Macaca mulatta: one gene and its partner. The protein of the gene in region 1 interacts with the protein of each later gene in a biochemical or structural test. Links are inferred from orthologs where the notes say so. Each region holds a gene or a part of one and is shown on either strand. Other genes may lie near its edges.

The links.
Region 2: the proteins of DTL (region 1) and KMT5A form a complex in vitro, tested with the Homo sapiens proteins (2 studies listed by BioGRID, with this or other methods). The link is inferred for Macaca mulatta from reciprocal best matches to the Homo sapiens genes DTL and KMT5A.

What each region holds. Positions count from the first base shown.
Region 1 is NC_133406.1:69,766,129-69,781,158, reverse strand, and holds the start of DTL (denticleless protein homolog), read right to left. Parts: upstream 9,712-15,030; 5' UTR 9,595-9,711; coding exon 9,543-9,594; intron 2,320-9,542; coding exon 2,194-2,319; intron 638-2,193; coding exon 539-637; intron 1-538. Other genes in the region: INTS7 (integrator complex subunit 7), read left to right, coding at 10,048-10,141. UniProt on the Homo sapiens protein: Substrate-specific adapter of a DCX (DDB1-CUL4-X-box) E3 ubiquitin-protein ligase complex required for cell cycle control, DNA damage response and translesion DNA synthesis.
Region 2 is NC_133416.1:130,797,471-130,812,287, forward strand, and holds the start of KMT5A (N-lysine methyltransferase KMT5A), read left to right. Parts: upstream 1-7,569; 5' UTR 7,570-7,715; coding exon 7,716-7,886; exon of another isoform or gene 7,887-7,890; intron 7,891-8,136; coding exon of another isoform or gene 8,137-8,258; intron 8,259-8,932; exon of another isoform or gene 8,933-9,055; intron 9,056-9,341; coding exon 9,342-9,498; intron 9,499-14,817. UniProt on the Homo sapiens protein: Protein-lysine N-methyltransferase that monomethylates both histones and non-histone proteins. Specifically monomethylates 'Lys-20' of histone H4 (H4K20me1).

The DNA of each region.
Region 1 (15,030 bases):
CCTGGTCCCTAAAAAGACTTAATCAGAAGTTAACATAATCGGGAATGTGTTATATATACTTCAGATGTTTGTCCCTTCCCAAATCTCATGTTACAATTTAATCCTGAAAGTTGGAGGTGGGACTTAATGGAAGGCATTTGGGTCATGGGGGTGTATCCCTCATGAACAGATTAATGCCCTCCCTAAGAGGTGAACAGATGAGTGACTTCTTACTCTATTAGTTCCCTGGAGAGCTGATTGTTTAAAAAAGAGCTTGGTACTACCCCTTTCTCTTGCCATGTAACCTCTGTATTCATGGGCTCCTCTTTGCTTTCTGCCATGAGTTGGGGCAGACTGAGGCCTTCACCAGATGTCTAATCTTCTAGCCAGCAGAATCATGCACCAAATAAACCTTTTTTCTTTATAAACTACCCAGTCTCAGTTATTCCTTTGTAGCAACACAAGACAGACTAAAACAGAATGTGTTCAAATAATAATACACTTGAGGATCTGTAAAGTTTTTTAAATGTTAAAACAAAAATTGTAGACCTAGACTTACCTTTGAAGCACTTCTTTCTGAAAGTTTGTGATTCAGTGTTATACAATCGAACAAAGCCTTCTTCATTGGCAACTGCTAGTACATGTTCCATATTGGGAGCTAAAGCAGAAATAAAGAATAAAATATATGAAGAGTAACACAAATTTTTTTTTTTTTTTTAGACGGAGTCTGGCTCTGTCGCCCAGGCTGGACTGCAATGGCACGATTTGGCTCACTGCAACCTCCACCTCCTGGGTGCAAGTGATTCTCCTGCCTCAGCCTCCCAAGTAGCTGGGATTACAGGCATGCACCACCACACCCAGCTAATTTTGTATTTTTACCAGAGATGGGGTTTCACCATGTTAGTCAGGCTGGTTTTGAATACCTAACCTCAAGTGATCCACCTGCCTCAGCCTGCCAAAGTGCTGGGATTACAGGCATAAGCCACTGCGCCCAGCCACAAAACTTTTTAAGCTTCCTCAAAACCACCAAAATTTTCTTCACATAATCTCTTATTTAGAGAAGGGCTAAATCGAGGGTTGTACTTAAACAAAACAGGAGTGGTACTGGCCAATGGCAAACAAAAGCATATGATGATGTAGGCCGCCAGCAGGCTGAGTCTATTAGTTTTGTTGTTTTTTTTTTTAATCATATTTTTATTTACGTATTTTTACCACAATCATTGCTACGTAATAGTCTATTAGTTTTTATTTGTTTTTGAGACGCAGTCTCCCTCTGTCACCTAGGCTGGAATGCAGTGGCGTGATCTTGGCTCACTGCAACCTCCGACTCCCAGGTTCAAGCGATTCTCTTGCCTCAGCCTCCCCAGTAGCCGGGACTACAGGCGTGCACCACCACGCTCGGCTAATTTCTGTAAGGAGTTTATTAGTTTTAAATTTCCTTTTCACAACTTTTTCTCTCCTCTCAAAACTATTATGGGTGGAGACAAGTACTTCCATTTCTTTCTTTTTTCTTTTTTTGGAGATGAAGTCTCACTCTGTCACCCAGGCTGGAGTGCAATGGCACAATCTTGGCTCACAGCAACCTCTGCCTCTCAGGTTCAAGTGATTCTCTTGTCTCAGCCTCCCAGGTAGCTGAGATTACAGGCATGCGCCACTACGCCCAGCTAATTTTTTGCAATTTTAGTAGAGATGGGGTTTTACCATGTTGGCCAGGCTGGCCTCGAACTCCTGACCTCAAGTGATCTACCCGCCTTGGCCTCCCAAAGTTCTGGGATTACAAGTGTGAGCCACTGCACCCAGACCCGCCTTGGCCTCCTAAAGTGCTGGGATTTCAGGCATGAGCTACTGAGCTTGGCCAAAGTACTTCTATTTCTGTTCATATATTCCCCAGTGAGTCACAGAAAGATACATTCAACCAGATCAAAGGGTATGTATCTACTGGGTAAAACAGTTTTCATTGTAGCTGAACCTTTGCAACCATTTCCTTATATTGGTTTTTTAAAAATGGTGCTATAATAATCCTATGCTTTAGAAGAAATATAGTTATGCTAATGATGCATAGAGATTAAGAAAAGTCTATTTTATAAATCAAAAGACAACAGTTTTTACAAAAACTCTAACATCTACCTAGTTTACTTTTTGAAGTATATTTGCCCTGTAAATGTGAAATAGATCATTTCTGTCCAAGCCTTGCCTAGAGAGTAATTCTCTTACCAGAAGAGAAGGTACATCCAAAAGGAGGAACCGGGACTCCTGTTTCTCCATAAGAAGTGTGTTCATCATTACCACTGCATTGATAACCAGTCAGAAGGGATTGTAGAGGGTATTGTGAAGACCATCCTAAAACAAGACAATTCCTTATAGAATTCCAATAGAGCATCACATTTCAGCATTTTTAACAAATCCAGAGGTAAATATTTGTTCTTAAGAAACTTTAGATATTAACATAGATCCACTTACTATTAATATCTATGGAAGACACTGTTTCTGGTATTTCCTTAAAAGAGTCCTAAGGAAAAAATGAAAAAGCACTTCCAACTTCTGGGGAGGTATAGCTTTGGGCTTACTATCTAAAATGAAGACTCTCACTAGCACATTGAGATTAGAAGAAATAAGAGGCCTTTGCATATTAAGAAAGATCTTCCTCCTTCTCCTACCAAAGAGACAACCACAAAAGCATTCCATTAAAACTGTTATCCCTTTCTATTAAATTCTTATGCTGGAACATCATACAAAATCCAGTGGTCAAAGAGCCAAAGAAAATAATATATATCAATGCAACTACTATAGCCAGTAACATATTCACCAAATTTACTTTCTTTTTCCTTTACTGCTGAAATTGTAGGAATCTAAAATGTTAATAGCAACGCTTATAGTATCTTAAATGATATTAGAGAAATTGTAAAGTGAAGCATTATGTACCTACCCCTAGTAAACATTTAGTTAGCCCTGGCTAGTGGCAGTGGGTCAGGCAGTCTTTACAGGAGGTCTTGAAAGATGGGTAAATTTTCACTGAATTTAGAATAGAGAACAGGAAACTCAGGGTGGAAGAAAAGTTTATTCTGCTTGGGTCAGAGATCTAACGTGCACTATGGTCCTACATAGTAAGATATCTTCAGAGATTTGTTTTTATCATACTGATTTGTGGTCAAGACATTTTAAACATATAAAAGAAACATTCATTCAACAAGTAATTACTGAAAACCAAATGTTCAATAAGCATTGGAGGAATCACTGAGTTTACAATCTATTGAAAGCATAACAAACTCACATTTTAGGGTACTCTGAATTCTCACTTTTCATCAAAAGTACTATGTGGAGAATACATCCTAGCTTGACATAACCTCAGACAAATCTACATTTGGATGTTCATAGACATAACCTGAAGGAATCAATAGAAGGGCACCAAAAAATTTAATCCAAATTTAATAATTAGTTCTGGGGCCATCATGTCATAATTTCAACATCAGATATCATTGTAAAGGAGCTGTTAAAGACCACTAAAAGAATGCAATAGGCTGGGTGCGTTGGCTCATGCCTGTAATCCCAGCACTTTGGGAGGCCGAGGCGGGAGGATCACGAGGTCAGGAGATCAAGACCATCCTGGCTAATCCGTGAAACCCCGTCTCTACTAAAAATAAAAACAAAAACAAAAACAAAACAAAAAAAATTAGCCAGGCATGGTGGCAGGCGCCTGTAGTCCCAGTTACTCAGGAGGCTGAGGCAGGAGAATGGCGTGAACCCAGGAGGCAGAGCTTGCAGTGAGTCGAGACTGCGCCACTGCACTCCAGCCTGGGCGACAGAGCAACACTCCGTCTCCAAAAAAAAAAAAAAAAAAAAGAATGCAATAGTTACGTTGAGTTCACAAGTATTAACCTACAGAATAAGTGTGTAGAAACAACAAAAGCCTCTGTTCAAAGGTTATGTAAATATACATGTTTTGGAATTAAAAAAAAATCAACTGCAAAATGCAAACTCAAAAGGGACTTTTGAACAACTTGGTTGAAATGAAGATGATACACTCCAAAAAACCTGCAATTTTTTACAATTAAACAATGACTTTAACTCTGCGTCTCTGCCTACAATTAACATCCAAACACCAATGAATGGTGAGTGATTGGTCCTTGCCTACTCCTCTACTTATGCAATCCCTGCAATACACACTTCACTGATGAACCACCCTAAGCTACTTTTGGATCCTTATTGTGTTATGAACATGAAACTGTAATGCTTACCTCCACAACACATTTGGAAAAAGCTATTATTTCCTCATTGTACAACTTAAGCCCCTAGAGTTACATGCACATATTCCAAGTAGTATACAAGAACATGAGAGTTTTCAGAGACTAAATTTCCAGATACAGTAGTCATCCCCATCTGTGGTTTTGCTTTTTGTGGTTTCAGTTGCCTATGGTCAACGATAGTCTGAAACTATTGCATTGAAAATTCCGGAAATAAAGAATTCATAAGTTTTAAATTGTGTGCCATTTTGAGTAGCAAGAAAATTTCACACTGTCCTACTCTGACCTGTCCAGGGTTATGAATCATCTGTGTCCAGAGTATCCGTGCCATATATGTTACCTGCTCTTTAGTCACTTCGCTGCTTTGTCTGTTACATAGTTGGAAGGTCAGTAGTAGCCTAATGTTATATCACAGTGCCTGCCTACATCATTCATCTCACTTCATCTCATCATGTTGTAGATATTATATCATCTCACATCATCACGAGAAGAGCAAGTATAGTACAATGATATATTCCGAGAGGCCACCTTCACATAACTTTTATTATAGAATATCGTTATAAATGTTCTGTTATTATTAGTTATTGTTAATCTCTTACTGTACCTAATTAAACTTAATCATAGGTATGTGTCTGTATAGTAAAAAACACAGCATACATAGGGTTGGGTCTTGGAACATATCCTTCAAGGATAAGGAGGTACTATTGTACTCAACTACGATATACAGTCATATGTCATGTAATGGCATTTTGGCCAAAGACAAACCGCATACACAATGGTAGTCTTATAAGATTATAATGAAGCCTAAAAATTCCTATTGTGTCTTAGTTTTTAACAAAAGGTTCGAAAAGTTAAGAAGAAAAAAGAAAAAAATTTAAAATAAAAAAACTTATAGAATAAGAATATGAAGAAATAAAATATTTTGCACAATTATACAATGTGTCTGTGCTTTATGCTGTTACCACAAGGGTCAAGAAGTTAAAAAATTTAAGATGTTTGTAAGTTTAAAAGTTACAGTAAGCTGGCCGGGCGCGGTGGCTCACGCCTGTAATCCCAGCACTTTGGGAGGCCGAGGCGGGCGGATCACAAGGTCAGGAGATCAAGACCACGGTGAAACCCCGTCTCTACTAAAAATTACAAAAAATTAGCCGGGCGCGGTTGTGGGCGCCTGTAGTCCCAGCTACTCGGGAGGCTGAGGCAGGAGAATGGCGTGAACCCGGGAGGCGGAGCTTGCAGTGAGCCGAGATCACGCCACTGCACTCCAGCCTGGGCTGGGCAACAGAGCAAGACTCCGTCTCAAAAAAAAAAAAAAGTTACAGTAAGCTAAGCCTAAGGTTAATTTATTATTCAAGAAAGTATTTTTTAATCAATTTAATGCAGCCTAAGTATAGAGTGTTTATAATGTTTACAGTAGCATAATGTCCCAGGTCTTCACACTGACTGACCACTCACTCATCGATTCACTCACAATAACCCCGAGTCCTGCAAGCTCCCATTCATAGTAAGCACCCTCCACAGGTGTACCATTTTTTATCTTTTATATCCTATTTTTACTGAACCTTTTCTATGTTTAGATACACAAACACTTACCATTGTGTTACAGTTGCCTACAGTATTCAACACAGTAATATGCTGTACAGGTTTATAGCCTAGGAAAAATACACAGCTTAGGTGTGTAGTAGGTTACACTATCTAGCTTTAAGTATACTCTGTGATGTTTGCACAATGATAAAATCACCTAATGATCCATTTCTCAAAATGTTATCTCCATTTATAAGCAATTGGATACTATATATGCATTTCTAAAACTCACCTGTCTGAAAAACCTGATGTCTCTGAGAAGGTTGAGGTATCACTTTTTTCCTTTCCCTTCATTACTTCCTTTCTTCCACTTTATAAAAGAAAGGCATTCCTGTGCCCCAATCTTAAACCTTGCATTGATCCAAAGAATAAAAACTTTTGGGTATCAAATATTTTTAAATAAAAACAAATAAACTTTTGGAACCTTAACAGATAAATAATTCCTTCAATAAAGGAATCATAAACACCCAAATTCATCTCTTTAAAAGATGTACTTCCAACAAAATTTTACTTTTGGTTAATAATTACCAAAATTGGTAATCTATATTGTTTTAAACAATCATATAGTACTAATAATTGAATTGAAAATTCAATCCATAAAGAAGTTTTAACACTCAGAGGCTTATGACAGAAAACAGCAATTTAAATTATCTTTTGACACAGAGGGGTATGACAAGAGTGATCAGTAAAAGAGCTTTTCAAGCATAAAATTAAATTACTGTGGGAGAAATGAAATGGAAATAAATTCAAGAGGAAAAAGCAGCTATATGGAATTTCTAGCAGTTAAAGAGTTTGTTCGTATGTTTCTAAAAAATGGATGACGTGATTATCAAATCACTACAGTATTTACATTATATTAGATACACTTAAAAGAGTGATATAGCATTTTTATTTATTCCCAATATGGTCAGAAATTATATTCTTTGCATTTGTTTAAATTTGTGATAAAAACTTTTAGATATCAATTTGAAAATACACAGAAGAGTCGTCAGATTTCCATTTTAGAAGGATCATGAGCAGCAATGTGGAGAATAAAGTGAAGACAGACAAACTAGGAGGCCATTTGGGAGACTTCTTACAATCCAGACAAGAAGGCATTAGGGCCCAACCTAGGGAAATGGAATGGTAAAAATAGAACACATCCAGGATACAGTAAAGATGCATAATCACAGAGATTTTAACGAAATGTTTTGAATGTGTAACTATGAGGAAGATGAGGAAGTCTTTAATTGACTCAGGTTTCTGGCTGGGAAAACTGGTTTAAATAATGAGGCCACTCCCTAAAATTGGTAATATAGCAGGTTTGGGGGAGAAGTTGAGTTCAGTTTTGGGTATTTGAGTTTGAGATGCTTGTGGGATTGACAGTCTGCGTGATAATCAACCCACACAGCTTTTACAGAAATGAATCTCAGGTACATGAAGTCTTCCAATAACATCATTTTGTACAATGTCATTTCCTCATACTGTTCATGAGAAAAAAAATCAATTCCTGTTTGAGGCCACTGGCTGGGTGGAGTTTGTACATGTTCTCCCCATGTTCACAGAGGTTTTCTCCAGGTACTCTCGTTTCCTCCCACATGCCAAAGATGGGTATGTTAGATTCACTGGCATGTCTACATGGTCCCAATAGACAATGGGTGTGTGTGAGTGCTTCCTGTGATGAAATAGCATCCGGTCTAGAGCTGGTTTCCACCTTGTACCATGAGCTGCCAGGATAGGCTCCGGGCACCCACAGTCCTGAGCTGGAATAAGTGTGTCAGAAAATGAATGAATACAAATAATTATATAATAAAAATGGTAAACTTTACAATAATCATACAAATGAATGACAAACGATTTGGTATGAAAGGGCTCAGTGAGCTGCCATATTTGTGATTGTTTTTGAACTGGGTGGTTGTAGGAGGTGCTCCAATTTTCAGTTTGCAAACATTTATTCCTTGATTTAGCCCACCACTACTATGACCGAGGTCACTCACTGATACGCCAAACTTGGGTAAATAATTATCTCACTTGTTTTTATTAATCTTTCTCAAATGTATGTATAGCACACAATTATTTCAACATTTAATATTAAAAGTGTTTTGGGTCTTTATTTAGAAGTTCAGTGGTGTTTGTATGACCAAAATATGCCACTGGAACTTAATTCTTGTTTATATCAAGTAGCCTATGGTAGAGTTGGTTTAGTTATACATTGTTTTCCCTAAAGTCACAGTTTCCAAGAGCCTATCTAGACATTAAGTGAGAACTTACCATATAAGAAATAGAAAGTTGTATGTACATAGAAGTGGAAGAAGCCCTGGTTATGGCTGTGATCATCCAAAGAAGTAGGAAGAAGAAGAAAAGGGGCCAAGGAGGGAACACCAACACTGAAGAGGAAAGGAGATGATTCTATAGATTTCAGTGGGTAACATATAATAGTGAATGAATTTCAGTGTCTATTGTGTAACAACGAATGAGTACTCGTGAACAGGAAAGAGGGAAGGGAAAGGTAAACACATGGAGAATTAGGAGAAAATCTGTCACAAAACAGTCTGAACAGCTCCCCCAGGACACACATATAGTAAGGTGTGGAGGTATAATAAAACCCAGGTAGCACTGTGCATAGTCACTCTTAAACAGAGGACAGAGAAGTAAGTCAAACAAAGTCCCAGAAGAGAAAGAGGAGCATTTAGAGTATAATTACAAAGATTATCTATGAGGGAAAGAAATAAGAATGGTATAAAGTTTCAGATTGCTAGCAGGAAGTTGAGGGACTACTTCTCAGTCTCTTTCTCAATATCATTTTCCTAGACTCATCCCTGAACATAAAAATTCCCTTCTCAGGTTCCTTTTCCACATGGTTTCAAGAGGAAAAAGAACCTCTGGCTATAGTCGATGTTCACATGAGTGAGATTTTATTTCTGTCCAAGGTTAGTCTGCCTACTTACCTTCCTTATCAGAAACTTACCAAAAAGTTTAAGTTGATGACACCCAAACCTAGCCTCAAATCTCTTATTGCCAATGTTTTAGCGTAAGAAAGTTAGATTTCTACATATTAACATGGGAATACGTTCAACTTATACCATTAAAGTGAAAAAACAGGACATTTTGATCCCATTTCTGAAAATAATAGATATTACCTCTAGCGTCGAAAACATCTGGAATAATATACTTCAATCTATTAACAGGGGTCATCTCTGGCGGATGTGGTTACAAGCATCTTTCACTCTAAATGTTTATGACCATGTAGTAAACGGGGAAAAAAAGATTTTGATCCTGTTAGAAGCAGATATCCTGTCTTCTCTGCTTGACTGAGTTCCTTAACAGTGGGTCATATTCACTGGTATATACCCATAGCAAATAGCTGGGCTCACTAAGATTCTACAACAAACGAATGAATAAATCAATGAGTATGAGTTTTGACCATCTCAAATAACTGTTGAGAGAAACATATACACACAAATGCATGCATTTTCCCGTTAACGCGCAATGGAGATGTAAGCTGTAAGAGGCCTTGGAAGGCAGTTATTTCGACGTCCATGCCTACGTTACGATTTTAAAAGCCCGATTACGATTACAAGTGTTCCGAGGAGATGAAAGCACAGCTTTCTTCAGTAGTCCCAGCTAACACTAATTTACCCTTGCCATGGGAGAACTCAGAAGCTGAGTTCAGAATTGGAGTCGGCCCTGGTCGGAGGTGGCGTGTGTTTCGGGGTAGATGAATCCCGCCAGCCCCGAGCAGCGGTTGGGACCGTTACTCACCATTTCTCAGGACGCCAAGCTGGGGCTGGCGAAGCACCGAATTGAAGAGCATCAGGGCCGGAGGAAAAGGCTCAGCTGAGAGAAAAGTCGTAGAAATGCCTCCAAGTTCAGCAAAAATCGCAGCTTGCGCCTCTCACAACACAAATCGTTATCGCCTCCAACTCCCGCCACTGTAAGCCCCGGCCGCCAAACTCCGCGCCAAACTGACGTCACGCTCTCTGATTGGCTTCCGAGCGACGTCCGGGCGCCTCAGAGTCATTTCCCCCTTCGGATCCCCGCCTCCTTTTCTCCCAGCCGCGGGAACCTGGAGTCCAAGAGCTCCTTGAGCGCCTGCGCAGAGGGCAGCAGAGGCGACTGCGAACCGCGGGGTGACCAGGGCGCATGCGTAACAGGGCTTGACAGCGCGCGGAGGAAAATCCAACAAGAAGGCGGCGGGAGAAGATGGCGGTTCTGGGGTAGAGTTTGCAATCTTTCTGACTAGGCTAGTCGAGTAACTATTCGGGTCATGGCGTCAAACTCAACTAAGTCTTTCCTGGCAGATGCCGGCTATGGCGAACAGGAACTGGATGCCAACTCTGCCCTTATGGAGTTGGACAAAGGTATTCGAAAGAGCGGGCTGAATGGGTGAAACGGGCGTGGGGGGAAGTGGCGCCACCACGTGGTGGTAGCTTCAGAGGACGGGTAGGCGCATGCGCCTATCTTCGCTGGGCGGGGAGTGCCTGTGCTTTTGCTGGGGCGTGGGCTTTGACCCCTTCGGGAGGTTGCGGGAAATTTGCAGGATTGTTTGGCCTTACACCGGCTAAACAAGTGGCGAGCTCTAGTGAGAGGCCCGTTTTGACCACTTGAGGGAACAGCCCCCTATTTTCTAAGCAGTGGACAGTGGCTGGTTTCTAAGAAACACTACAAAGAAATTCTGAAATTGGTTTTCAGTCTGTTCATTTGAGACCAGGTCACCATGAAATGTGCTGAATAGTTGTCTTGCACCGACTTGACAGCGATTCATTTGATTTCCGTAGCTCTGTTACCTGCGGGTTACAAGGCAGGCTAACCATGGCCGAGACCATGCAAAAAGCCCTGCTCATTCTCTGCGGACAAGTTCCAGGAGTTCTGTTTCCTTGCTTACAGGGAGCAGTTTGGTGTAGAAGGAGCTTTGGGGTTGCACTGAGTTAAATTTCAGTGCCGCTAATTTTATGATTAATTTCATCTAGCCTCGGTTTGTCGTCTACCAAGTGGGTACAGTACCATTGAGCTGGCAGAATTGTTGTATTAAGTGACTTAATGGTATGCGAAAGAAGCATTTAGTAAATGCTGAAGAGATATAGATATGGATTTGGGACGCAAGGTCGGAAATTTGTCAGTAAAGAACTCGACTGGTGATATGAAACCTGTTTCATATTAAGGATTTTTATTGTACGGGAAACATTTCGGCAGCTGGTATACAATTAAATCTTGATTAATCGTAGCCAATATATAATGTTGGAGAACAGGACTAGAACTCAGAAGGATCTCTGTTTAAGTCCCCTTTGAGCCACTTCCCAGTTTTCTGAGTTGGATATGTCTATTAACGTTTTTGGGACTCTTTTTCCGTTTATTTTTTAAACTGTGAATATTTTTAGTGGGTTAGTCTAAATAAGAGTTTCTCAGGCTCTTATAAAAGCTTTTACCTCCTGATAAACACAAAAATTTCACAACCCGCAATGGGATATTCCTTTGGTTGAGTCTCAATATCTTTAGTGCACTCCCATCAACCAAGAAAATGATGTTGAACTTTTCTTTCTCTTACCAAATCTATAGGGTTTTTCTCCTCTGAAAAATAAAATTGTAATATTAAATATGTTTTTCTTTTCTTTTCTTTTTTTTTGGAGACGGAGTCTTGCTCTGTTGCCCAGGCTAGAGTGCAGTGGCGCGATCTCGGCTCACTGCAACCTCTGCTTCCCGGGTTCAAGCGATTCTCCTGCCTCAGCCTCCCGAGTAGCTGGGATTACAGGTGCCCACCACCACGCCCGCCTAATTTTTGTATTTTTAGTAGAGACGGAGTTTCACCATGTTGGCCGGGCTGGTCTCCAACTCCTGACCTCAGGTGATCCATCCGCCTCGGCCTTCCAAAGTGCTGGGATTACAGGCATGAGCCACTGCGCCCGGCCTTAAATGTGTTTTTCAAACACTTTCCTCCTCATTCTGATACATCTCTTTCTTATCCCTACCAGTTCTAAGGACATTTTCTATCATGCTGGTCCAGCTGAGCTTGTACCATGCTGACAGTAGGATAGTGGTTGTGGAACAGTGATCAAGATGGGGCACTGAAGAGGAGTCTAGAATTGTTTAATTCCTCAAATTTTACAGTTGTAAGAAAAAAGCCACAATTTTCCTTTTTAAAGAAAAGTTGAAATGAAAATATTTTATATCTGCAAGAAAGAAATCAGGTGTCAATCTTAGACACAGAGTAAGTGATCATTTTCACTCCTCCCAGCAATGCCCGGCGTATTTTACAGATGAATCTCAGGCTTAGAAAGATGACTTGTTCTTTTTCATCTCACCTATAGTATCTTTTAAAGCTGTTAGGAAATTAAGTTATAGAAATAGCCAGTTTCATGTAGCATATAGTTGAGTATTTTAAATATTGAGTCATTTCATCTTGTACCTGTTAAAGTACTTCTGTTTTGTGAGCTAAAGGTCAGAAGGCTACAAGTTACAACTCTTTTTTCGTTCCCAAACTCCAAGGAATGCTGTTTCTGAAATATCTCCCCCACCTCAGCACAGACACTCAGACACATGACTTATTTGATCAGGCTTTGTACTAGGAACATGGCAGTTAATGAAACAAAACAAAACTCCTGCCCTTATAGAGCTTACATTCTAGACAGCAGATGCAGACACTCAGCAAATACAGCGAACACGTGACAGTTAATGATACATATTCTAAAGGAAAGTGAAGCAATGAAGGGGACTGGAGAAAACTGATCAGGGGCTGGAGTTGATTTCTTATTTTATGAAGGATAGGCAAGAAAGACCTCCTCAATCAAGTGGAGGAACAGCAAGTGCAAAGGCCCTGAGGTAGAAGCCTCCTATGCATGCAGTTATCTGGAGCAAAGTAATAGACAATGAGTATAGAAAGATAACCAGAGTTGGTTGGGCGCGGGTGGCTCACACCTGTAATCCTAGCACTTTGGGAGGCCGAGTTGGGTGGATCATGAAGTCAGGAGATCGAGATCATCCTGGCTAACATGGTGAAACCCCGTCTCTACTAAACAAAATACAAAAAATTAGCCGGGCATGGTGGCGGGCGCCTGTAGTTCCAGCTACTGGGGAGGCTGAGGCAGGAGAATGTCGTGAACCTGGGAGGCGGAGCTTCCAGTAAGCCGAGATCACACCACTGCACTCCAGCCTGGGCAACAGAACAAGACTCTGTCTCAAAAAAAAAAAAAAAAAAAGAAAGAAAGATAACCAGAGTCCAGTTCAGGTAGGGCCATGCAAGCCATCAAAAGGACTGGCTTTCATTCTGAGTGAGATAGGAAACCATGGAGGATTTTCAGCAGGTGTGTGACATGATCTGACTTTCCTTTGGAAAGTATCAGTCTGGCTAGTGTGTGGAGAATAGACTGAAGTGGAGAGGGTCAGGGACCCAAGTAGGGAGACCAATGAGAAGGCAACTATAACAATCCAGGGAAAAGAATATAGTGGCTTGGACCAAGGTGGTGACACTGAAAATGTGTGAAGTGCAGAGATTCTGGATATACTTTCAAGGTAGAGCCAACAAGATTTGCTAATGGATTAGATGAGGATATAAGAGTAAGTGGTCAAGAAAATTTAGAGGTTTTTGGTCTGAGCTACTGGGAGGATGTATGTATGTTTAGTGAAATCAAATCAGTTTGTGATATGTTAAATTTGAGATGTCTCTTAGACATTCAAATGGAGATGAGTAGACAGACATAAGATATAACCTTTGAATGCTATTTTAAATAAATATTTTGTGGCACTGGTGTTGCTAGAAACACACTCGGGAAATGCTGCCATTCATAACCTGTTATATATTTATAACCTATTGTACTTTATTCTGAGCCTTTTGAGCAAGCATTGGCAGTAAGCTGATTGTTTCTGATCTCTATAGGAATAAGTGGATACTATTTTGAAGCTGACTCAATTCCATTACTTTAGGATGTAGTTAGTAACAGGAAAATCATCGTCCATATGATAGCCATTCATTTACTCAACAGATATTTACTGACCACCTGCATTGTCTCAGGCTCTGTACTCAGACTAGGGGCTATATTGGCAAACAAGACATCTTTAAGGAGCTAGCTTGCATACAAATATAAGGAGACAGACAATGCTAGATCAAATGTGGCGCTGTTAGGACAAGAAGTTGGATTTTGTGCAGAGTGCAATGGGAAGGCATTGAAAGTTGTAGGCTGATGGCCATGCTGACTGAGCTTCTGTAAGACTGAGCATACACAAGCAGAGTTAAGTGTTATAATCAAATACATTACAGCTTATGTTTATCTGACACATTTCATGATATAATCATTACTATACGTAATTGGCAATATAAAGAATGCGTCTCACAAAAATTAGTGTAACTTTTTCACTAATATAATTTCTTAGTCTAAACATTTTTAGATCAGCTGATGGGAGGTTATCCTGATGATTTGGGAAAACTTATGCAAGATCTCTTTCCACCTGGGAAAAGAGGAGTCTCTTAAATGACATTATTCAGCCTATCTGCCTTCCGCAGTGTTGACCTTGGAAAGGATGAGGTGAAAGCAATGGGGAAGAGAGCAGTGACTCATTCCTTTTCTTGCAGCTGATGCAATGGGAAGGGAGGAAATATAGAGGGTAGATTTGTTACTAGAGGTGCTGGTGAACGTAATGCTGTGTGAAAAAGCTTGATGGTGTGCTTAATGAAAAATTTAGTTATGAAATAGAGAAATGATGTGAATCAGGAAGCTATCTCTACACTAATTCCCCCTTAGACGCTGTCACCTCACCTATATTCCAAAATACCTGAATTCTCAGACCATCAAGATTGTTAAAAAAGACCACAGATTGCTTTGACATTATCTATATGGCTCAGATGTCGTTGGTGTTTCAGTAAACAAATATGAGGCCTTTGAGGAAGTGTCTTCATAGGCCCTCCTGAAGAGAAAGGCCTCAGCAGCCAGATTTGTTTCAGGTGACTAATTCCCTACCATAACTGATTGATTCAGAAGGAGGCATGTGACCCACACGGAGTCAAATTCTTTCTCCTAAGAATCTCTGCTGCCAGACCACACAGTCTGAGAGTGTTGAGAAGCGGACCTATAAAATCATGTAGAATTAGGCCGGGCGCAGTGGCTCACACCTGTCGTTGCAGCACTTTGGGAGGCCGAGGCGGGCGGATCACCTGAGGTCAGGAGTTTGAGACCAATCTGCCCAAGATGGTGAAACTCTGTCTCTACTAAAAATACAAAAATTAGCTGGGGGTGGTGGCAGGCACCTGTAATCCCAGCTA
Region 2 (14,817 bases), on another chromosome or scaffold:
GATCACTTGAGGTCAGGAGTTCAAGACTAGCCTGGGAAACATGGTGAAACCTCGTCTGTACTAAAAATACAAAAAAATAGCCGGGTGTTTTGGCACATGCCTATAATCCCAGCTACTCGGGAGGCTGAGGCAGGAGAATTGCTTGAACTTAGGAGGCAGAGGTTGCAGTGAGCCGAGATCATGCCATTGCACTCCAGCCTGGGTGACATGGGTGACAGAGCGAGACTCCGTCTCAAAACAAAAAAAAGTAGGCATGATTGGCACACTCTTGTAATCCCAACTACTTGGGAGGCAGAGGCAGGAGAATTGCTTGAGCCCAGGAGGTGGAGGTTGCAGTGAGCCGAGAATGTGCCGTGCACTCTAGCCTGGATGACAGAATGAGACTCTGTCTCAATAAATAAATAAATAAAATAAAATAAAATAATCTTTTAGGCTGGGGGTGGTGGGCTCACGCCTATAATCCTAGCACTTTGGAAGGCTGAGGCGGGCAGATCACATGATGCCAGGAGTTTGAGACTAGCCTGGCCAACATGGTGAAACACTATCTCTATTAAAAATAAAAAAATTGGGGAGGGGGAGGGATAGCATTAGGAGATATACCTAATGTAAATGAGGAGTTAATGGGTGCAGCACACCAACATGGCACATGTATACATATGTAACAAACCTGCACATTGTGCACATGTACCCTAGAACTTAAAGTAAAATAATAATAAAAAATTGAGCTGAGCGCAGTGGGTCACGCCTGTAATCCCAGCACTCTGGGAGACTGAGGCCGTCAGATCAATTGAGGTCAGGAGTTCGAATCCAGCCTGGCCAACAAAAATTAGCCAGGCATGGTGGTGGGCGCCTATAATTCCAGCTATCGGGATGCTGAGGCAGAATTGCTTGAGCCCAGGAGGTAGATGTTGTAGTGAGCCGAGATCGAACCACTGCACTCCAGCCTAGGACGACAGAGAGAGGCTTCATCTCAAGAAAAATAAAAATAAATAAATAAAATGATCTTTTTTTTTTTTTTTTTTTTTTGAGATGGAGTCTCACTCTGTTGCCCAGGCTGGAGTGCAGTGGTGCAATCTCGGCTCACTGCAAGCTCCGCGTCCCAGGTTCATGCCATTCTCCTGCCTCAGCCTCCCGAGTAGCTGGGACTACAGATGCCTGCCACCCATGCCCAGCTAATTTTTTTTTGGCATTTTTAGTAGAGATGGGGTTTCACCGTGTTAGTCAGGATGGTCTCAATCTCCTGACCTGGTGATCCGCCTGCCTCCGCCTCCACACCTCTACATATTTATGGAAGCTGTAAGGCACGTTGGAGATTACAGCACCAGCTCCTCCATTTGACAGCTAGGGAAATGGAAGTCCAGAGAGCTGAACTGATGTGCCAAGTGACACAGTGACTTTGTGACAAAAGTGTCCTTTTCTACCTTTCCCAGTGCTTTCACATATATCATTTTATTTTCCTTTCCTATTTTCCTGGTGCTTTGGCAGGGTCCTTGGGCAATGATTGGGTCTCCAAAATCTTTTCAGCTACCAAAGAGACAGAACAGATTAGTGACTTCATCCCACACCCCTGGGAGGGGCCCCAGGGAAGAGCAGTAGTAACTGGACACCTTCCCTGAGTCCAAAGCAAAGACACTCCAGGACACCTGATCCTCTGGGAACATACTGACTGAGCCCCCTCTCCCAGAGGGGAACAGCGAATACTTGCTTCCCTGGGGTTAAGGTAGCCATTTAGTGTTTGAACAGTGGAGAGACTGATCCAGGCCCTGCAATTACATTGATGGGTGACCTTGGGCAGTGCATAGGTGACCCACTTCCTCTATTGCCCCATCGGTAAAATGGGTGGGTGTGAAGCATTAGGATCTTTGCGGTCCTGGAAGGACCTCTACTGACCCAGTTACTTGGTAGGAGTTGTGCCTGTGGGTTTTGAATACTGGAATATTCAATAAACCTTTTTTTTTTTTTTTTTGAGACAGTGTTTCGCTCTTGTTGCCCAGGCTAGAGTGCAATGTTGTGATCTCGGCTCACCTCTCCGCTCACCATAACCTCTGCCTCCTGGGTTCAAGTTATTCTCTTGCCTCAGCCTCCTGAGTAGCTGGGATTACATGCATGCGCCACCACGCCAGGCTAATTTTGTATTTTTAGTAGAGACTGGGTTTCTCCATGTTGGTCAGTCTGGTCTCCAACTACGGACCTCAGGTGATCCTCCCACCTCGGCCTCCAAAAGTGCTGAGATTACAGGCGTGAACCACCTCGCCCGGCCTAAACCTTTCAAACCTGAGAATGAAAGGATCAAACTGCCAGAGGGGTCGGTGTGCTGGAGTTGCTAAACTGCTGGGAGACTCAGGCTTCCCAGCTCATTAGGAGGTATCAGGGGTCAAAGATCGGGTTCCGGTCAAGCCCGCGCAGAACCGGAAGTCCTGGATCCGGTCGGCTCTGAGCCCGGGGCTCCTGACGGGCGACTCACGCTCCAGAGGCGGAGCTTCAGCAGCGGGAGGGGGAGGAGTCTAGGGCGTCCCAATGGCAGATCGGGTGTCTTCCATCGCAGCCAATCAACGTCGGGCGACGGTCAAATTTAAACCCCCCCCCACCTCCTCCCCCGGGACCTGTCGGGAAAGCGTTTGTAGTTAGTGCGACGGCTGGACCCGCCCCGCCGCCTAAGAGGCGGGAGAAGGGCGTGGCCTCCCTCCGAGTTCGCCTATCACGACAGGCAACCTGCGGAGAGGCGGGCGGCGGCGCCAATCGGGGCGAACAGCTGGAGCCCTGCGGAGCAGTTGGCTGCAGTTGTTGCAACTTTTTTCGAAAGCTGGGTTTCCCGGGAGATCCCAGGCGGTGACAGAGTGGGGTCATGGCTAGAGGTATTTGCCCAAGTGGCCAGCGCCGGGGCGGCTGGGTCGGGGGTCGTGCTGGAGGGGTGGCCGGGGTGGCGGCAGCGTCTGCGGGGAGGCGTCCTCCTCGGGTGGTTCGGGGCGAGCTTGGGGACCCGCGTGGGGGGTGTAGGGGTGCTGCTTCGGAACCCGCCGGCCCCCCTGAGGCTCCAGATGCCCCCAGAAACCCCTCCCACTGCCGTGCTTCTGTTTCCCCTCTATGAAGTGAGCACCTGCGGGCCTGCCTCTCCAGGGCAGCAGATCCATATGTCACAGCTCTTTGGAAACTAAAGCGCAGGGCACCTCCAGGGAATAGGTGTTATTGATAGAAGTGGGGCGGGGGTGGGAGTGAGGCTTCGCCCACTTTGGGGCTCTCTCTTTTTGGGAAAGGAGGTGATCCCGAGGCGAAGGCGCAGATCGATAACCTGCATGTTGGGGTGTGCGTCAGGGTGGACACCGCGGCAGGCGCCTTTCCTCCTTCCCCACGTCCTGAGTCAGCTCTGCGCCGCCGGAGCGAGGGCCGGGCCCTGCTGGCCCACTTTGGGGTGAAACGGGTTCATGGCACCTCGCTGGCGCGGTCGTTCGCCCCGCATCTGGTCAGGACTTCGCCCCTCGGTAGATGGCTTGGGTGGGCTTGTACAGCCCTGGGAGGCGATGTCCTGCCTGAAATCCTTTGCATACTTAGTTGGCTGTCAGGCCAGTGCCTCCCAGGTATGCGGCAAAGAGCTCTCCAACCGCTTGGTCATTTCCAGCCACTGCGTCTCCTTCACGCTAAAGGGCCAAAAACTTGAGCGTGAAAGTTGAGTAGAATTAGTTTTTTAAAAAAATCAGTTGGGGTATTATATTTTTCTAAAAATTCCAAGGCATCAAGTGTTAGTAGGAATTTGCTTTAGTGCAGTATGCTCCCTATAGCAATAACAATGAATAAAATAATGATTCATTCAACAAATATATATTGGGTCCCTTTGTTTTCAGGCCCTGAAATCAGTTGCATCATTTATTCTCCCAGCATCCCTAGAGGGTCTTTTGGATTAAGACTTCCCCAGAGCCTGATGAAAAAATGAGGCATAGTAAACTTCAGGTTTTAGAGCTTCATCACCCAACTCATGGAGAAAATTAAGACTAATATTTTTCCTTAGAAAAGTGTTAAGCATCTAAAAGTATATTTAACATTATCTGACTAATTTATCTGACAAATTTTAATAAAACTATGCTTCCTGGCTTCATTTTTCTTATTACAGTACAATCATTTAACTACTTGTTTTAAAAGTAATGCATTAATGAATCTATGAAGAAAACTAACCATCTATCATTGAAATACTTAAAATATGGCTAAATAATAATTATGGCCGGGCACGGTGGCTCACACCTGTAATCCAAACACTTTGGGAGGCGGAGGCAGTCGGATCACCTGAGGTCGGGAGTTCGAGACCAGCCTGACCAACATGGAGAAACCCCGTCTCTACTAAAAATACAAAATTAGCCGGGCATGGCAGTGCATATCTGTAATCCCAGCTACTTGGGAGGCTGAGGCAGGGAGAATTGCTTGAACCGGGGAGGCAGAGCTTGCAGTGAGCCGAGATCGCGTCACTGTACTCCAGCCTGGGCAACAGAGCGAGACTCCATCTCAAAAAAACAAACAACAACAACAACAAATAATAATAATAATAATTATCACTGAGGGCCAGGTACTTTATTAACTCAATTCATCTTTACAAATTGTTATTCTCATTTTTTAGAGGAGGAAGCCTGAAGTCCAAACTTGCTGTCCAGACTCTAGCTTGGCTGGGTCTTTGCTTGTGCCACACAACCTCCCTTACTTACCCAAAGCGAAGATAATGTTTGTCAGCTCCTCCCGTGGTCAGCTTACAAATCACCTATGTAATTATTAGTTATTGATTCTCACTGTCTCACTTGACCCCAAAATTAGTTGCCTGTTTCTTAGGCTTTATTGCCCTTGCAAGCTATTAAATTGGATATTTAGATCTAGATTATTATTTTTTTTCTTGAGACAGAGGCTCACTCTATGTTGCCCAGGCTGGAGTGCAGTAGAGTGATTTCAGCTCACTGCACCCTCCCTCTCCTGTGTTCAAGTGATTCTTGTGCCTCAGCATCCCAAGTAGCTGGGATTACAGGCACCTGTCACCACACCCAGCTAATTTTTGTATTTTTAGTAGAGACGGGGTTTCGCCATGTTGGCCAGGCTGGTCTTGAATTCCCGACCTCAGGTTATACGCCAGCCTTGGCCTCCCAAAGTGCTGGGATTACAGGCATAAGCCACCATGCCTGGCCAATATTTAGATTGTAAATACCAAATCATTTATAGCACTTCAAATGAACAGTCTTTTTCTTCTAGAAAATTGGGCTTTGAACTTGCAATTCACTTTGAGAGCCCTGCTGGGCCACAAAAACAAACTGTTCAGATGCCAGGCAATGCCTCACTCATTTTGAAGTTTTATAATCATGCAAATATTTACAATTCCAATATATTAGTCTCAGGGGTCAGTCCACCTACCTTTTGCTATTTCTACTGCCATTGTTGAATGGTCTCTTAGTTGGTAGACCTCCTCATTTTGCCATCTCCAGTTCATTATCCCTTAGCACCTGGTTGGGGGGGGTCTCCAAAAATAGACTTTTTTTTTTTTTGGGAGACAGAATCTCACTCTGTCACCCAGGATAGAGTGCAGTGGCATGATCTTGGCTCACTGCAACCTCTGCCTCCCGGGTTCAAGTGATTCTCCTGCCTGAGCCTCCCAAGTAGCTGGGATTACAGGCATGCAAAACCATGCCAAGCTAATTTTTGTATTTTTAGTAGAAATGGGGTTTCGCCATGTTGGCCAGGCTGGTCTCAAACTCCCGACCTCAGGTGATTTGCCCACCTTGGCCTCCCAAAGTGCTGGGATTACAGGTGTGAGCCACCACGCCCAGCCAGTATATTTGTTATATATGTATAAACTTGCAGAGAAAGGACTGTTTTGAAACTTACATTGAATGATTTGTGTTTACATCTTCTAGGTACTGGAGCTGCAGAATTGAGAGGAATAGGTGCTAGGCTTGTAATTTGTCCCCTGCAATTGGGGGCTCAAATGCAGAGAAAGCTACGACCATGAGTGGGGTGTGGGGTGCGGCTCGGTATACTAGTATATGAAATGGACAAGATGATCTATGTGGGTGCTTCCTGCTCCAAAACCATTATTCTCATGGTAATTAAGCTGCAAAACTTCTCTGCCTTGCAGAAGTGGAAAACACTTTCAAATGGCTCAACCTGGTTATGAGAGTGTCACTTTCGAATTCTCTTTCACCCTCTGGGTAATCTTTTGGATATTCAACTGTAGTAGGCTCTGCAGAGGGCATGGGCAGAGTACCTAGCCCACTGGAGTTAGTGGTTGGGCTGGGGGACCCTGCCTTGAAGGATGCTAAAGCATGAGCTGATTTGGGAGGAATTCCAAATTGTCTGAGCAGTGACCTGTCACCACCTAATCCTACTCAGTCTTATCTGTTCTAATGGGAGGCGAGGGAGGCCAGGTGGGGGGATGGCTACAAACAGCCATTTGTATATCTGTGGATGTTGGAAGGTGCTCCGGTGGATTATGGAATTCAAGGTTCTTGGTTTTTACCCATGAGGACACTGAGGCCCAGACTGGGGAAGTGACTTGGCAATGGTCACAAAACACCTCTGGGCAGATGCAGGGAAATAAGTCCAGCCCCTGACTCCCAGGCCATGGCCCAGGCTGCAGAAGCTGGATGCCTTGAAGTGTCTTGTTTGCATCTATGACTTTGCACAAATGCAGTGAATCTGGCTATGGGCCCTCAATCCTTAATGGCCACAGCATAATGGTGCAGGGCAGTGAGCTATGCTGAAACAGCCACCAGAGTGACAGGAACCTCATCTGCCTATGGGGCATTTTCTCACGGCGGGATAGGAGAACAAGGTGACTTGTTAAACCCTTCTGTAAGACCATTTGCTCCTCCCAACCTCCATTTCCTCCTCTGTAACCAGGAAGGGTAGTGGCTGGGAGGGCAGGCCTTGGGGTCAGCTGGCCGGGGCTGGAAACCCATCTAGTTCTGAGAACTTGGCCAAGCTCCTCACTTTCTCCATCTGTTGAAATGAGATAATAATGGTGTCTACCTTTGCAGGGCTGCTGTGAGGTTTCAATGAGATAGCGGCAAAAGACTCGCCCAGGAAACCGATCATTATAACCCCTGGCTATGTCTCCCCAGGGCTTCCTACCGGTCAAGTACAGCCCTTCTGGGTTTGACACCTGGCCCCATCACTTCCTAGTTTTGTGGCCTGGGACAAACCCCAGCACTTCCCTTGAGTCACGGTGTCACCATTGTAAGCTGGGATGCCGACAGGACCTGCCCCCGTGGGCGTGCGGGGAGGATTCAATGCCTGTGAAACTCTCGGTGGGCACAGCGCCGGGCACACCCGAGGGCCTGGCCTGGCGCGTTCACCGCTGCTGATTTCGCCTGGCACAGACGGGGCTCCCAAAATATCCGCGGAGCCAGCGGAAAAAGGAGCCGGGCGGGCTGGCGGGCGGGCGGGCGGGAGCCTGGGCTGTGATGACAGTGTTTCCCACCCCTTCCTCCGCGAGTGGCTGAGGCTGCGCGCGAGGGGGCGCGCCCGAGCCGGGATTCGCCGAGCCCGCCCGCCCGCCCGCCCTCCGGAGCGGCCTGGCGGCGCCGCCCCTGCCAGCCCCCTCCCAGGGCCGGGCGCCGGACGGTGGGCGGCTGCGAGCAGGCGGGCGGGCTGCGGAGGACGCGCCGCCTGCGCCTCCTTCCCTGCGTGCCTCGCCCCGGGCCGCTCGGGGCTGCCGCGGTGCGCGGGTGCCGGGCCCTGCCTCACCGGCCATGGGGGAAGGGGGCGCCGTGGGGCGCCGCCGGCCCTTCCCCGGGGCGCCGCGGCGGCGCTGGTGGCGGCGGCAGCAGCAGCAGCAGCGGCAGCGGCAGCGGTGGTGGCCGGGCCGCGACGGCGGCGGCGAGGGCGCGGGGCGCGCCGCCATGGGCCTGGCCGGGCTGCAGGTGGGTGTGTCGGGCCCGGCCGCGCGGGGGGCGGGCGGCGCGCGGGGCCCGGCCGGGCCGGGCGGCGGGAGGGCGACGCGGGCTCCGGCCCGGCCCTCCCGGCGGCGCCGGCGGCTCACCAGCGCCGGGGCCTCGAAATATGGCTGCGGCGGGAGGCGCCGTCGCGGCGCCCGGCCCGGGCGGCCCCGCTCCCCGCCCCGCCGCGCCCTGAGCGCCCCCTCCCCCGCTTCCCCCGGGTCCCCCTCTCCAGGCAGGAAGATGTCCAAGCCCCGCGCGGTGGAGGCGGCGGCGGCGGCGGCGGCGGTGGCAGCGACGGCCCCGGGCCCGGAGATGGTGGAGCGGAGGGGCCCGGGGAGGCCCCGCACCGACGGGGTAAGCAGGCACCCTCCCCGCACCCCTGCGGCGCGCCGGCCGGGCCGGGGCCGCGAGCACATGGGCGATCCCGGGTCCCTGCCCGCGCCGCCCCGGAGCGCCCGGCCGGGCCGCTTCCTTTGCTGCCGCCTGGCTGGGAGTGGCGCCCACACGGCTCCGCCATGAGCCTGGCGGTGTTTGACCTCGGAAAAGTTTGACTGCGCCTTCATGGCGTCTCCGCAGCCCGAGAGCCTACTTCCCCGGAGGTGGCCGCCGTTCCAGGCTGTGCGCGGCCTGCCCGGGCCCCTCGGAGAGGTCACGGGTCTCGCCGCCTTGGTGTTGAATGGTCCCCGAGGCGGCCAGGGCCCCGCTTTGCTTCTGGGGACGCCCTCCTCCCTCTGCTTACTCAGAGGAGGGGCCGGCCCCACGCCCAGAGACGCCCGCAGTGACCTGAACCGCCCCACCGCCCCGTCCTCTCTCTCACGCCCAGGTGCGGCTTGCGACAGAGTGGCCGCCCTGAATGCGCTGGTTGTGGCTCCTGCTCTTCCCAGCTTCCCCCGTCACGCTGAGAGAAGTCCTTCCGTCGCAGCCCTGGGAGGCTGCGGGGCTGCAGTGATTTGAGAGGGGTCAGGCTCGGGCACGCATGGGGCTCTGGCTGTACTGACAGGCCCTCCAGCCGCCCTCAGCACCAAGTGGTTAATCAGGTTCCCCGGGGCCTGTTTCTGTGCTGAGTCCCTGCGGCTCCTGCCAGGGGAATGAACTCCTAAAGATAGCCTAGCTCTTCACATGCCCGGGTCCTTTTGACCTCCCTGTTGCGGGTAGGCTGTCTTCTTCCTATATAGACCTTGGTTGCAGCCGGCTCTCCTGCTGGCCAGCTGTCCCCTTAGCGAATTAGAGACCAGCGCGTTCAGGAAACGTTTCACTGGACCTGGGATTCTAAACCTGCCAGTGCTCTCCTGAGACAACGGGGGCTGGCATCCCCTGATAGCCCAGTTTTTGAAAAACGGTGTTGTCTGATTTTCATCTTTTGTATTCCTCCTCCTCGTGAATGCTCTAGGATCTTCTTCTTCAAGCCTCTTTCAGAATATGCTTTTGTCTTTTTAGGAGAATGTGTTTACCGGGCAGTCAAAGATCTATTCCTACATGAGCCCGAACAAATGCTCTGGAATGCGTTTCCCCCTTCAGGAAGAGAACTCAGTTACACATCACGAAGTCAAATGCCAGGGGAAACCATTAGCTGGAATCTACAGGAAACGAGAAGGTAAGCTTTTGAAATGGCCTCGTTCTGATCCCAGCTGGTCGGGTTGCGGAAGCCTCTCTCTTCTGCAAGAATGCACATATATATTTATCCAGCCGTTTCAGTCTCAGGTTTGGGAGGTTTGAGCCATGTTCTGTCTTGCTGCTAAAAGAGTGGCTTGTCCCAGGGTGTGTGCCCTGTTGGTCTGACAGGTTCTCCCTGCTTTCACAAGAGTTAGCATGTCCTTCAAGCTTGACTGTCTTGCCTAGTTGCAAAAATAACATACCTGACCCACAATTAGAGAGGCTCACAAGCGCTGAAAGTGCAGAAGTCATGAATTCAGGTTGTATAGACCAGGCGATTGCAGACCTAACTGATGTGTTCATGCAGGGAACTGACTTCCTTCCCTTTTATGAGTTAGCCTTGACCCCATTTCTTTTTCTTTTTTTGAGATGGATTTCTGCTCTTGTCCCCCAGGCTGGAGTGCAGTGGCACGATCTCAGCTCACTGCAACCTCCACCTCCTGGACTCAAGCGATTCTCCTGCCTCAGCCTCCTGAGTAGCTGGGATTACAAGCGGCCACCACCATGCCCACCTAATTTTTGTATTTTTGGTAGAGACGGGATTTCACCATGTTGGCCAGACTGGTCTTGAATTCCTGACCTCAGTTGATCCACCCGCCTTGGCCTCCCAAAATGCTGGGATTACAGGCGTGAGCCACCGCGCCTAGCTGTCTTGACCCCATTTCTAAAGTTTCTTGCCACTCAAGCGTTCCGTGTTAGTCTCTGAAGCAGTATTTTATGCAATGAGATTTGGAGTTAAAATGTTGAACAAGAAAATACAGGGTTAATGAAGACTGTCTGGCCTTGCAAAACAAACTGAAACCTCTTAGACATCTTGCTCTAATCCAAATATTCCCTTTCAAAGCTGCAGTGGGGAGTGTCAGCTTTCCCCAATTCACCATGCTCTCTTCTAATTAAAACCTGTCTGAAAGAAGCAAAGCCTCTGGCTGCCAGCAGCTGCATACAAGGAAGCCTTGTGTTCGCTAACAGAAAGTGTCATAAATGATGATTTGGCGTGACCTCTGGGGCCGGATCTGAGAACCAGGGCTGGGCAAGCCCTGAACTGGGGACAGGAGCTCACCCTGGGCTTGATTTCCCTGGTACACAGGGCAATATTGTTTTATTTGATCTTCAAATGACTTGGGTTCCAATCTTAAGTTTGCCACCCGAAAGAAGGAGGCTTAGATAGGTTGCTGCTCTCTTCTGAGCCTCCGTTCTCTCATCTGTAAATGGGGAGAGAGGAGTCTGACCTCACACAGGACTGTTTTGAAGGGTGGTTGCAGCATGGATGCCAAAGGGCTTTGTGATGGGCTCCGTGTGCCAGCTCTTCACCCCCGGACTGCCAGCTCATCCCTGGACCTGCAGCACTTAGAATTCTTGCCCATAGGATTGGGGAGAGGCACTATCTATAAATGGTACTTGCCCAGACTCTAGTCCTTTAAAATAGGGCAGTCTTGGCTGGGCGCGGTGGCTCACGCTTGTAATCCCAGCACTTTGGGAGGCCGAGGCGGGCAGATCACGAGGTCAGGAGATCGAGACCATCTTGGCTAACACGGTGAAACCCCGTCTCTACTAAAAATACAAAAAATTAGCCGGGCGTGGTGGCAGGCGCCTGTAGTCCCAGCTACTCGGGAGGCTGAGACAGGAGAATGGCGTGAACCCGGGAGGCAGAGCTTGCAGTGAGCCGAGATCGTGCCACTGCACTCCAGCCTGGGCAATGGAGCAAGACTCTGTCTCAAAAAAAAAAAAAAAAAAAAAAAATATATATATATATATATATATGGCAGTCTATACCTTGTACCAAATGGTGGCCTGGTATACAAGCTAGTGTATTTGGCTCATAGTTTTACTAAATGGCCATGATTAGAATCTTGGGTCAGAGTCTGGGCATGGTGGCTCAGGCTTGTAATTCCAGCACTTTGGTAGGCCAAGGCAGGAGGATCACTTGAGCCCAGGAGTTTGAGACCAGCCTGGGCAACATAGTGAGGCCTCGTCTCTACAAAAATGAAAATAAAAAAAATTTGCCTGGCATGGTGGCATGCATCTGTAGTCCCAGCTGCTTGGGAGGCTAAGGCACAAGAATTCCTAGAGCCCAGGAGTTTAAAGCTGCAGTGAGCTATGATCATGCCACTGCACTCCAGCCTGGGCAACAGAGAGAAACCCCATCTCTAATTTAAAAATATAAAGAATTTAGGTAAGCTGGACTCTGGAGACCCCAAGGTCCAGGCTCTTCTTGTCCATGATTCTGCTGTGATACAGACTGAGTGACATATGATGTTCACGGGCACCACACACTCCTGGGCCTGATGTCCTGGCTTTAATTCTCTCTGATTTTACCCAGGAAGGCATGTAGAGGAGGAAGAAAGATCTGGATGGTTTTTTTTTTTTTTTTTTGAGACGGAGTCTCGCTCTGTCACCCAGGCTGGAGTGCAGTGGCCGGATCTCAGCTCACTGCAAGCTCCGCCTCCCGGGTTCACGCCATTCTCCTGCCTCAGCCTCCCGAGTAGCTGGGACTACAGGCGCCTGCCACCTCGCCCGGCTAAGTTTTTGTATTTTTAGTAGAGACGGGGTTTCACTGTGTTACCCAGGATGGTCTCGATCTCCGGACCTCGTGATCCGCCCGTCTCGGCCTCCCAAAGTGCTGGGATTACAGGCTTGAGCCACCGCGCCCGGCCGATCTGGATGGTTTTAATGGGTTTTTTTGTTTGTTTGTTTGTTTGAGACAGAGTCTCGCTCTGTTGCAGTCTGGAGTGCAGTGGTGCGATCTTGGCTCACTGCAAACCTCCATGTCCCGGGTTCCAGCAATTATCCTGCCTCAGCCTCCCAAGTAGCTGAGATTACAGGCATCCGCCACCACGCTCGGCTAATTTTTTCTTTTCTTTTCTTTTTTTTTTTTTTTTGAGACGGAGTCTCGCTGTGTCTCCCAGGCTGGAGTGCAGTGGCGTGATCTCGGCTCACTGCAAGCTCCGCCTCCTGGGTTCACGCCATTCTCCCGCCTCAGCCTCCCAAGTAGCTGAGACTACAGGCGCCCGCCACCACACCCGGCTAGTTTTTTGTATTTTTAGTAGAGACGGGGTTTCACCATGTTAGCCAGGATAGTCTCGATCTCCTGACCTCGTGATCCACCCGCCTCGGCCTCCCAAAGTGCTGGGATTACAGGCTTGAGCCACCGCGCCCGGCCTTTTCTTTTTTTTTTTCTTTGTTTGAGACGGAGTCTCGCTCTGTCGCCCAGGCTGGAGTGCAGTGGCCGGATCTCAGCTCACTGCAAGCTCTGCCTCCCGGGTTCACGCCATTCTCCTGCCTCAGCCTCCCAAGTAGCTGGGACTACAGGCACCCACCGCCTCACCCGGCTAGTTTTTTGTATTTTTTAGTAGAGACAGGGTTTCACCGGGTTAGCCAGGATGGTCTTGATCTCCTGACCTCGTGATCCGCCCGTCTCGGCCTCCCAAAGTGCTGGGATTACAGGCTTGAGCCACCACGCCCGGCTCGGCTAATTTTTTCTATTTTTAGTAGAGATGGGGTTTCACCATGTCGGCCAGGCTGGTCTTGAACTCCTGACCTCAGGTGGCCTACCCATGTTGGCCTCCCAAAGTGCTGGGATTACAGGCCGGAGTCACTGCACCCGGCCTAGTGTATTTATTTATTTTTCTGTTTTGTTAATCTAGATATAGTTAATATATCATAATGTTCGTTTTAAAGCATATGAGTCAGTGGTTTTTAGTATATTCACAGAGTTGTGGAACCATTACCATGGTCTACTTCCAGAACGTTTCCATCACCCCAGAAAGGTACCCATTAGGCGTCACCTTCGATTCCCCTATCCTTCTAGTCCAAGGCAACCATTAAAGTACTTTCTGTCTCTATGGATTTGCCTGTTCTGGACATTTCATATGGATGGAATCACAAAATACGTGGCTTTTGTGTCTGGCTTCTTTCACTGAGCATCATATTTTCAAGGTCTATCCATGGTGTAATAAGTATCAGTGCTTCAATCCTTTTTTTTATTTTTGAGAAGGAGCCTCTCTCTGTCGCCCAGGCTAGAGGGTAGTGGTGTGATCTTGGCTCACTGCAACCTCCGCCTCCCAGATTCAAGTGATTCTCCTGCCTCAGCCTCCCAAGTAGCTGGGATTATAGGTGCGCACCACCACGCCTGGCTCATATTTTTATATTTTTAGTAGAGATGGGGGTCTTACCATGTTGGCCAGGCTGGTCTCGAACTCCTGACCTCCGGGGAGCCACCCTGCCCAGCCCTTCATTCCTTTTTATGGCTGGATAATATTCCTTTGTATGGATAGGCCACATTTTGTTTATTCATCTGTTGATGGACATTTGGGTTGTTTTCACTTTTTGGCTATTCCAAATAAGCTGTTATATTCCTGCATAGATTTTTTTGGGGACATATGTTTTTAATTCTCTGGAATAGATGCCTAGGAGTGAAATTGCTGGGTCATATGGTAACTCTATGTTTAACTTTTTGGGAAGATGCCAAACTGTTTCTAAAGCGGCTGCACCATTTTACATCTGTGAGCAGTGCACTATTTACTTAATTTTTTTTCTTTTTTTTTTTTTTTTTTGAGACAGACTCTCACTCTGTCGCCCAGGCTGGAGTGCAATACGCTTGGCTCACTGCAACATCCGCCTCCCAGGTTCAAGCAGTTCTCCTGCCTCAGCCTCCTGAGTAGCTGGGATTACAAGTCCCTGCCAGTATGCCTGGCTAATTTTTATATTTTTAGTGGAGATGGGGTTTTACCATGTTGGCCAGGCTGGTCTCGAACTCCCCACCTCAGGTGATCCACCCACCTTGGCCTCCCAAAGTGCTGGGATTACAGGCATGAGCCACCGTGTCGAGCCTATTTACTTAGTTTTTTAAAAGGAAAACATGTTTTAAAAATGTAAGCAGTTTTCCAACACTGGCACTCCACAAGTGTTTTAAGTGACAGATCATTGCCGTGTGTCTCCTGATACCCAGGCCAGTCTGCTGGGGCACCATGCTGAGAACTGCTGTGAACCTGGGGCTTCAACCCCACTAGAAGGGGGCCTTCTTTTTCTTTAGAGTCTGAAATGAAGGGTGCCGGGCAGCTCTTGGGGAAGTTTCTGCTTTGTCACCTTACTCCTGTCCCTTAATGCTGTCCCAGCCTTCAGGAATGGAGCTTTTGATCTGAGTCTGCAGCCTGATTCCTGAAAGTTATTGATCAAGCGCCCTTGCCAGCATGTCTGTCTCTGGTGCCTCTGCCTCACAGGCTCTCTATCTCCCACGTCAAGACACAGAAGTCTAAAACCT